Linked DNA regions of Arabidopsis thaliana. The protein of the gene in region 2 interacts with the protein of the main gene of each other region in a pairwise test. Each region holds a gene or a part of one and is shown on either strand. Other genes may lie near its edges. The genes, in order: AT1G72570 and PUCHI.

The links.
Region 1: the proteins of PUCHI (region 2) and AT1G72570 interact in a two-hybrid assay, tested with the Arabidopsis thaliana proteins (one large-scale study listed by BioGRID).

The regions. Positions count from the first base shown.
Region 1 is NC_003070.9:27,329,378-27,334,344, reverse strand, and holds AT1G72570 (Integrase-type DNA-binding superfamily protein), read right to left. Parts: upstream 2,965-4,967; coding exon 2,877-2,964; intron 2,782-2,876; coding exon 2,184-2,781; intron 2,005-2,183; coding exon 1,922-2,004; intron 1,796-1,921; coding exon 1,787-1,795; intron 1,631-1,786; coding exon 1,542-1,630; intron 1,312-1,541; coding exon 1,238-1,311; intron 1,135-1,237; coding exon 1,084-1,134; intron 983-1,083; coding exon 906-982; intron 826-905; coding exon 647-825; downstream 1-646. Other genes in the region: PSD (ARM repeat superfamily protein), read left to right, coding at 4,878-4,967.
Region 2 is NC_003076.8:6,164,024-6,168,215, reverse strand, and holds PUCHI (Integrase-type DNA-binding superfamily protein), read left to right. Parts: upstream 1-2,175; 5' UTR 2,176-2,310; coding exon 2,311-3,357; 3' UTR 3,358-3,690; downstream 3,691-4,192. UniProt on the Arabidopsis thaliana protein: Probably acts as a transcriptional activator. May be involved in the regulation of gene expression by stress factors and by components of stress signal transduction pathways.

The DNA.
Region 1 (4,967 bases), on a different chromosome or scaffold from region 2:
TTGTTTCTTGACGGCTAGATATTTGTCCGGCTTTGTAACCGAGCATATAAATAAAATAAAAATTATATAAAAAGTTTTTTTTTTTTTTTTAACATCTGATATTACTTTAGTTTATCTCAAGAAGTCCATAGAAACCTTCAAATTTCCATTGACACCAATTATTTTCACCATGGCATGAGGGAATTAGCTCGATACGGGTTCAAAATTAATCAAACTATCAAAGGCTTGGATGGATTTGATTATGAGTTAAATAAGTTTCACTTAAATTTGTAACGCTTTTCCTTAAAGTACGACCACGACAGAAGAAGGCACACAAATTGAGGAATCGCCTCTCCTCAACTTGGTGCAGTTAATATATACTAATTAATTAACACTTATGTTATGGATCCTGTAAATAATGAATGCATTAACTTTTTTCAATTAAAAATAAAAACGAAATTTAATCAAAGTATATCATAGAGAATAATATATAGTGGATTCTGATAACTTAATTTGCTAAAAAAGTTGTATATATGTAGACCGGCCTCAATTACTTAGGAATATATGTTTATTAAACCATAAATGATTAAACAGACTGGACGAACTTATTTCCTCAAACCAACCGTACGTGGGAATAGTCTCTCCGGCGAGGAGTTTACGGTGTCGGTTAGTGGCCGGCGCCAGAGCTGGTGGGAGAATGTTTGGCCTGGTCGCTATCAACAATCGTTGAGCTTGAACATATCCTCTTCACGTCATATCTATTTATATCGAAATTGGTTACAGCGTTTAGGCCTCTGAATTTAATTGCCGCGATATCGTACGCCTCCGCTGCTTCTTCTTGCGTGCCTTCATCATAGTTACAAAATGTGATATTTAATAATTCAAAGGCTATGATATAATTCCATATGTATAGAAGTGGTTCATACTAAATGTTCCAAGGTACAAGTCCTTGTTTCCAGCAACTCTTCCAATTCTGGCTTGCCACCTTCCATGTTGATGATGCCTACATGAGTTATACATGCATGATCATCATGATCTAATTCCATGCATGTACATGTACATATATAAATATATACAAGTTTCACATATATGTCCAAATCAAACCTTGTAACTCCTCTATACACGGAAGCTCCCCTCGAAAACCCGCTGCTATTCCTATGATTATGATATGTAATTACAAAGCGTTTGTTAATGGTTAAATGCATATGACTATATAAGGTCCATAAATATCATTACAAACCCACTGTTGAGTAATTACCTCCTCAACATGGCAACAAATTCTTGCCGATTCATGTTATTGAGTTCCTCGATCTCCTTTTCGTAATTACTCAACTGAATAAAAGAGCGTCAAAGGAACTGATATCACAAGCCAAATCTATGTAGTTCCATCAAAATCAAGTCAATAAAATCGGAAAATGATTACATTCAAGATCCAAAATATCGAAATAAGTATGGAAACTGTTATGTTGCATGTATATAAGTGTACATATATAAAACACACTTGCATGTAATAAAGGAGTTAGAAGTGGAGCTAGGTACGGGACCAGAAAGATCAAACTCACAGGGAAATTTAAGTGAGTGGTAGGACCCCAATACTTCAGAGCCGCTAAATCATATGCCCTCGCTGCTTTCTCCTCCTCATCATACCCTCCTATTTTAGTAAGTATTAATTCTACTATTAAATGTTTTTCTATAATTATCAGAAGGTAACAAGGTTAATTTTTACTTCGAAGGCCAAAAATAGGGCAACAAGAAATGAACGAGGGATCTCATGCATAATAGGTTGTAAAATAAAGTTCTGGCTTACCAAGATACACTGTGATTGATCAAGAAGCGAATTCGAAAGTACATACGAAGCCAAAATTAAATAATTGTTAGTAAGATTATTGATGCATGATAGCATATTGAATCGGAAAATTATTTTGTATTTGTTTTTTCTGACCTTGTCTTCCTCTCCTTGTCTGTCCCTCCTTCTTACAGCTATTATCCCATAAGTGAGCTTCATATCTCCCTGTCCATCTATGCCTGTATACACGCACAACATAAATATGTGTCGACACAATTATACATAATCTACAAAATAAAATGACAAATATACATAAGTAACATAATTGTGGCATTCACATTTTTCTTACGTGTAAGTTTGAGACATCATTTAAACCAAAACAAATGTTTGAGACGTCATTATTTAATAACGTACGTACCTTGTAACTCCACGATACTGAGAAGTTCTTTGTCCATAACTATCAACCGACTTCCGAGGAACGGATTCCTTTACCTGAGGTTTAACAACCAATCTCTTCCGCTTCTCATCTACCTTAACCGGTTCTTCGACCCGTGCGGATACATTCGATTCGTTGATCAAATCAGAACAAGCCCCATGGCTCAAAGCCAATGATAGCATTGAGCCATTGGTGTTATAACCAGTCTCTTCGTTACTAAAATGACTAATATTATTGCTCGTACCAGCCTCTTCAGTAACGTAATGACTCGAGAGTGGGAATGCTGGAGTGCCTTGCTCTAACCAAGATTTGAAAACCGAGACCGAACCGACCCTCTCAAAACCTCCATAATCATTGCTAAGGTTCGGATCTAGGTTCGGGTAATGTGGTGTAACTACGGTTTGGTCGTGGAGAAGGTAACCGGGTGGGTTTAACCTGTTAACCACAGTGGTGCAGTTGACATTGGTTTGGTTATGGTTTATAGGATACTCGGTTTGATGAGAGTTTGAGAGGAGATCTTCCACCTTTGGAACGTCTTCATCATGATGATGATGATCAAAGTTAATATCATATCTCCAAACTACACATAAAATAGAAATCAAATTAAGAATATTAATAGTGGCCACACCAACAACATATATATACCAGGGGGATGATGTGTGAAGAAGAGAGTACCATCGGAACCGTCATGCCTAAGTTCTTCTTCTTCACTATTGCAGATTCTCAAAGGAGGTGTCAATGAAAATCCCAACCATTTCTTCATCTCTCTCTCTCTCTCTAGCTGTCTTTCTCGCTCTTAGTTTATATGTATAGGGTTTCGTTTTATATGATTTGTAGTCTCATACGTGCGAATATACATTAATATTTTTCATAAGTCTAAAACATTTAATAAATTATATAATTAAAAAGGTGGAAAAAAGATTTGAGACAAAACAGGTGGCGGTGAAGTTTTGTCGTAAGCATGAAAGAAAGGAAGAGGAAGTTTCTCTCTCCCTCACTCTTTCACATTCTCTTTCACACACACTTGCATCTGACTTCTAGAGTTTTGTGCCCACTCTCCCTCGGATCTTTTCGATGTATACGTATATATATATGGGAGATACACATGACACACTACAATGAAAATTTTCGTTCTTTGGTATTTGATTAACTTTTCCGTAAAAAAAGCACACAGTAGCGCTTAAAAAAGTCAGTATTTTGTTTCTTTCGAAATATGTTAATTAGACAATAATACATTTCTTTTATTAATGTCTTTCTTTCGATATAATTTGGGATATTTTTTAATAAACTTAAAGAACATTACATAATTTAAAAGTAAACAAAATTTGTACTAAAATTAGTAGTATTGCAAGGAAATTTCTCCTTAGACGATAAAAATGTGTTTTTGATTGCTCATTCAATCGATCCGTTTGAAAATGATTCTAACTGTGATGGAGAAGCCTGAAATGATCTTGCTGTTTTCGCAGATTAGACAAAGATCAATCTAAAAGATAAAAGATATATATAGCTGGAGTGTTTGGCAATATGCTATCTAACTCATAAAATTTGCCTCAAGTGTGAGAAGCGGATAATGTGACGGTATAACCTTTGAAAACAGACACACAAAATATGATAGAACAAAAGAATAAGTGATCTCTCTTATTTGGTTGATTATATTGCATATGTTGCTTATAGATAGAAAATGAAATTGTGTTCCAAGCTGTTAACCAAGACTTAGTGGGTAGTTTGTCCATACTCGCCACCCACATAACGAAATGTCGTTCTACACAAAAAGCCACAATTGTTTTCTTTAACAACTGAAAAATGAATTTGTGATTTTATATCTTGCTACGGGCATCGGAAATATTCCAACCTCTTCTACGAGGTAATCGACAATGCCATTACAGAACAAACCTTTTCTTACAATTACCTAGTTTGTAGTATACAAAATAAAAATCGAGAGGTCTTAGCTACAGAAGTTGTCTCCATGAATAATTTCACAGTAAGTAGTTTAGTTATATGTATTAATGTGACAATTTGTTTTATAAAACATTAGATTAAGAAAGTGAAAAAACACCATTATATTTGCTAACTCACAAAACATTTATACATGTCTATCTTAATCTATCAGTATGCAACACCTAAGGCCTAAGGTGAGAGAGATTCAAGCCCATGGGCTGATTTACTGAATTCAGATGACGGTTAATTTTCAATTCGCTGGCAATAATATTTATAGTTCTCTGGGAAAATATTCTGCAAGCTAATAAAAATCTGTGTATAAAAAAAAAAAAACCCTACAGCTCCGTCTTCTCTCCAGTCTCACAATTTTCCTCATATTTATAAATCCGTAAGGGAAATTTTCTAGAAACTCACCAAAAAAAAGTATTCTTTGAATTCAAAGAGAAACCCAAACTAGGGTTTCCATAATCCCTTTTCTACTATATCTCCCACTCTCATAAATCCGATCGCTAAAATCGCCACGATCCTTACTTTCTGGTAAGCTCTCAAGCGAAACCCACTAAAAGTTTCGTCTTTTTCTTCTTCGCATCAAAATCTGATAAGGGAAGAGAACAGTGAAGGAGAGAAGCTAGCTGACGATACTAATTCAAGGCATTGTTTGACTTGTATGCAACAAACCAGGACTGGATTTTGAAATCTCGGTTTTTAGGGTTTTTGTAGTGGGGTTAAGTTAACACAATGGATGACCTTGAACAGGCAATAGTAATTAGCTTTGAAACTGGTGCTGTTGATTCGGCTTTAAAGTCTCAAGCTGTTACTTATTGTCAG
Region 2 (4,192 bases):
TCTGGCGCACAACATTTTTGGTGTGTTTGGTAAATTGTATCGCTAGGATCGGAACGGTTGCACCAGAAGATGATGACTATATCGTGGTCCGACCACAATTGTATTACTGTTGTATTAGTCAAAGATATAATTCTAAAAGAGCCAAAATTAATATCATCATATATTATAGTATTAATAGTTTGACTCATTTATACTATGAAAAAAGAATTATAATTTTCATTCCCAATGCCATTAAGCAATGTGCAAAAAGCTTTACCAAGAATCGTCACATTTCCAACCCTTAATACAAGGAGTCCATCACACTTTTGTACCGTAGCCCATTCGGTTAAAAAGGCAAGGTATTCATTCAAATCTAATTAATTTGATTGTTGGTTTACGTGGCTTATATGACGTAGTATTTGTTTTTGCTACAAAAACTTGTGTAGTCATTTGCAGGATTTCTATTAATGCTCGTATATATTTACGTAAGTTTTTGCTAAAAAGGCTAATATATACTTGCATATTACGTACTTCACACCAAAAGTACTAACTTATCCATATATATGAGCATTAGCCTTTTATAACATCATCAAATTAGATATACTAAAGATTATCTAACAGACTAACACTTAACCAAAAAGATTTCAATACAGATCAAAGCTTATCACACCAAATCTATATGTTTGCCTTTATTGAGTTCTACTATAAGAATTTTTGTATATGTATTCTTCCCAAGACTAATTAGTTAATGAAAATATGTACTCTCTTATTAACTAGAACGTTCTATTAATTATACATTTTTTCGAACATGGAATACATAAAAATATCAATCTAAATTCCACAATGACTGAAACGTAAGTGTTCTTACTCTTTTGAAAAGTTTGATTAAAGTCTCTAAACTAAATAATCCAGAGTTTGATTAGAGCTCATAGTCATCTTCTAATTGTTCTGTTTTTCTTTGAACTCTTACTTAACAGTCGTGTTATCGTTGACTATGAGCAATTTTCTTGATTCATCAATAGAACTGTTGTCGGGTAAGGCATTAACTTCCTAATGCAATCATATATGAAAATAGACGAAGCTCCTATGTATATATATATAATCCTACAAAACTACAAACACAAAGAGACTAAGATTGTTGTTGACTTGTGCTTGTTTGCAACTTTGCATACAAGGACATCAATACAAAATTGTCCACTGAGCTATTTAATTAAAACCAAATTTATACGTACTTCCTAAGCATTTTAATTTTTGTTTAGTTCATCGTGTCTTTCTCTAAACCACTCCCATTGAAAAATCAGAACAAGGTGACAAAATTGTTCTCATTTCTATTTCCGCTTAAAATGCGGGTAACCATGTGATTTGATCAGGGGTTGTAGAAACTAACACTGATTTTGAAATATATTTATTTTTGAATTGTTGATATATTGTGTTAGAAAATAACATTATCGAACCTACCTCAGTGCACTCAAATTAATTGGACATCCTTATCGTAATTAGCAATGCATGCATATCATCTCAAGGATATATCAATTAAGTAGGGGATTTAACCTAAAGAAATATATCGATTATTTTTACGTAGACCCTTGACCTTTAGGCTAAGGTATGTAGGGTTATTATGCATGTTGCACGTGACCACTAAGTAGATTATTTGAGTTAATCAATTAGCTTGATCCCATTGAAATAGAAGATTCAAATAGGATGATGCAATATATACATCACAATTACTTTTCTTAAGTTACTCGGTACTTAGTATGTATTTATTACTTGTTCTTTCTTCTAACTCGAGATTGGTTACTGTGACATTCCAGATTTTGCTGTAGTTCCAATGATTCTTGGCCTCTGTTTTAGGCTTTCATAAGTAGCCATCCGTGTATATACATACATATATATACTGTACACACAGTTAAAATTAAGACTGTTTTAAAAAAAGAAACCCTTAATAATAATCAGTCAATTAAGCTGTTTAAAATTTGTATGAATTTATTTCAGCTGGTTAAGCCATATAAAAATCCAACTAATGTGTCAGCGTTTTTTTTTTTGTTTTTTTTGTCGTTGATGCAAAATATAATATCTTTGGAAATATAATAAAAGAAACAAAACAAAAGATGGTCTACTAAAAGCAGTTGAATCAAAAGTGAAGTCTCTCTATCTTCTCTCTCTATCAAGCTCATTGTCTCTCTATTTATAACAACACTTCACTTCCATTCTCAAACAGCACCATCATCTTTAGACAGAAGCAAAGCCAAAAAAAAACTTACTCATCATAAGATATCTTTAACCAAAACCCTAAAAGAAACCTCCTTTCAAAAAAACCATTTCTTCATCATCATGTCAACCTCCAAAACCCTAGACCATAATAAACCATTTGAAACATCCCAAACGCAAATGGGTTTTGCTCTGATCCACCAAAACACATCCGCCAACACAACCACCACCACCACAACCGGCGAGAGACGAGGCCGGAGATCAAAGCAAGCGGAGCCAGGGAGGTTCCTAGGAGTCCGGAGACGTCCATGGGGTCGTTACGCAGCCGAGATAAGAGATCCAACCACCAAAGAACGTCACTGGCTAGGCACTTTCGACACAGCTCACGAAGCTGCTCTTGCCTACGATAGAGCTGCTCTTTCAATGAGAGGTACTCAAGCTCGAACCAACTTCGTCTACACTCCAACTGATGTCCACACCATCCTCACAAACCCTAATCTCCACTCTCTCATTGTCTCTCCTTACAATAACAACCAATCTTTCTTACCAAACTCTTCTCCACAGTTTGTCATCGATCATCATCCTCATTATCAAAACTATCATCAACCACAACAACCTAAACACACTCTCCCCCAAACTGTCTTACCCGCGGCTTCTTTCAAAACGCCAGTTCGTCATCAAAGCGTGGATATTCAAGCGTTTGGTAATAGTCCTCAAAACTCATCTTCTAACGGCTCGTTATCTTCTTCACTAGACGAAGAAAACAACTTCTTCTTCTCTTTAACAAGCGAAGAACATAATAAGTCCAATAACAACTCGGGTTACTTGGATTGCATTGTCCCAAACCACTGCCTTAAACCACCTCCGGAGGCCACCACCACCCAAAATCAAGCCGGAGCTAGTTTCACAACTCCGGTAGCAAGCAAAGCCTCTGAACCATATGGAGGGTTTAGTAATAGCTACTTCGAAGATGGTGAGATGATGATGATGAATCATCATGAGTTTGGTTCGTGTGATCTCTCTGCCATGATCACGAACTATGGTGCTGCTGCCGCTTCAATGTCAATGGAAGATTACGGGATGATGGAGCCGCAAGATTTATCTTCTTCTTCTATCGCTGCTTTTGGAGATGTCGTTGCAGACACTACAGGCTTCTACTCAGTCTTTTAGAACATTCTATATTATATATGTTTTTTATATATGCAATAATATTATTAGTATTTACGTTATTCGATGGTCGTTTGATTGTTGTTGTTAACTATATGTTATCGACTTTATTATATAAATCCTGCTTATTGTTTCATGCATCATAAGGTTACCTTACCTTGAAGTTTTGATTTGTTTTTTCTTTAATTTGTATTATGGTTTTGATTAGCAAAAAGGGATAATCCGAGTTGTATTAAAGACCACTTTTTGTCCATGCTACTTCGACACACTCATTATGTATATTTTATAAGTGTGCTATATTATAATAATAATGAAATCAAATGACTTGCTCCAAACGGATAAATGACTAGGATCGGAGTGAACAACTAATATATCACATGTAATATTAGGATTATAAGATCAGATGCAAATACCCCATTTTTCTATTTTTGATCAGTATGTGCTCAGATATTATGATTATTTTATGACAGTTATAAATTTTGACGTTAGTTTGAATTATAACATAATTGAGAGTCTAAGTTATAAAATTTAAAATTTAAAATTAGTGAATGTGAGATGGACTTTTAGTGAAGTAGCATGATGGTGTTTTTGGTCGTTAAACATGTGTTTTGGTCATGACTTGTTTGGTATTTCATTGCACAATCACTGTTTCATGTCTCCCTCCTTTTGCCTATATTTTGCCTTAACTTTTGTCTACAACAACTCAACATCACAACTCTTTATTTCATTTTTAAATCTGTTTAAGGTTTTTGACTTTCTTTCATAGAACTCAATTAGTGCCTTCTCCAATGTTGATCAACTATACACTTTTTTTGTTAACTCAACAAAGATCCAATCC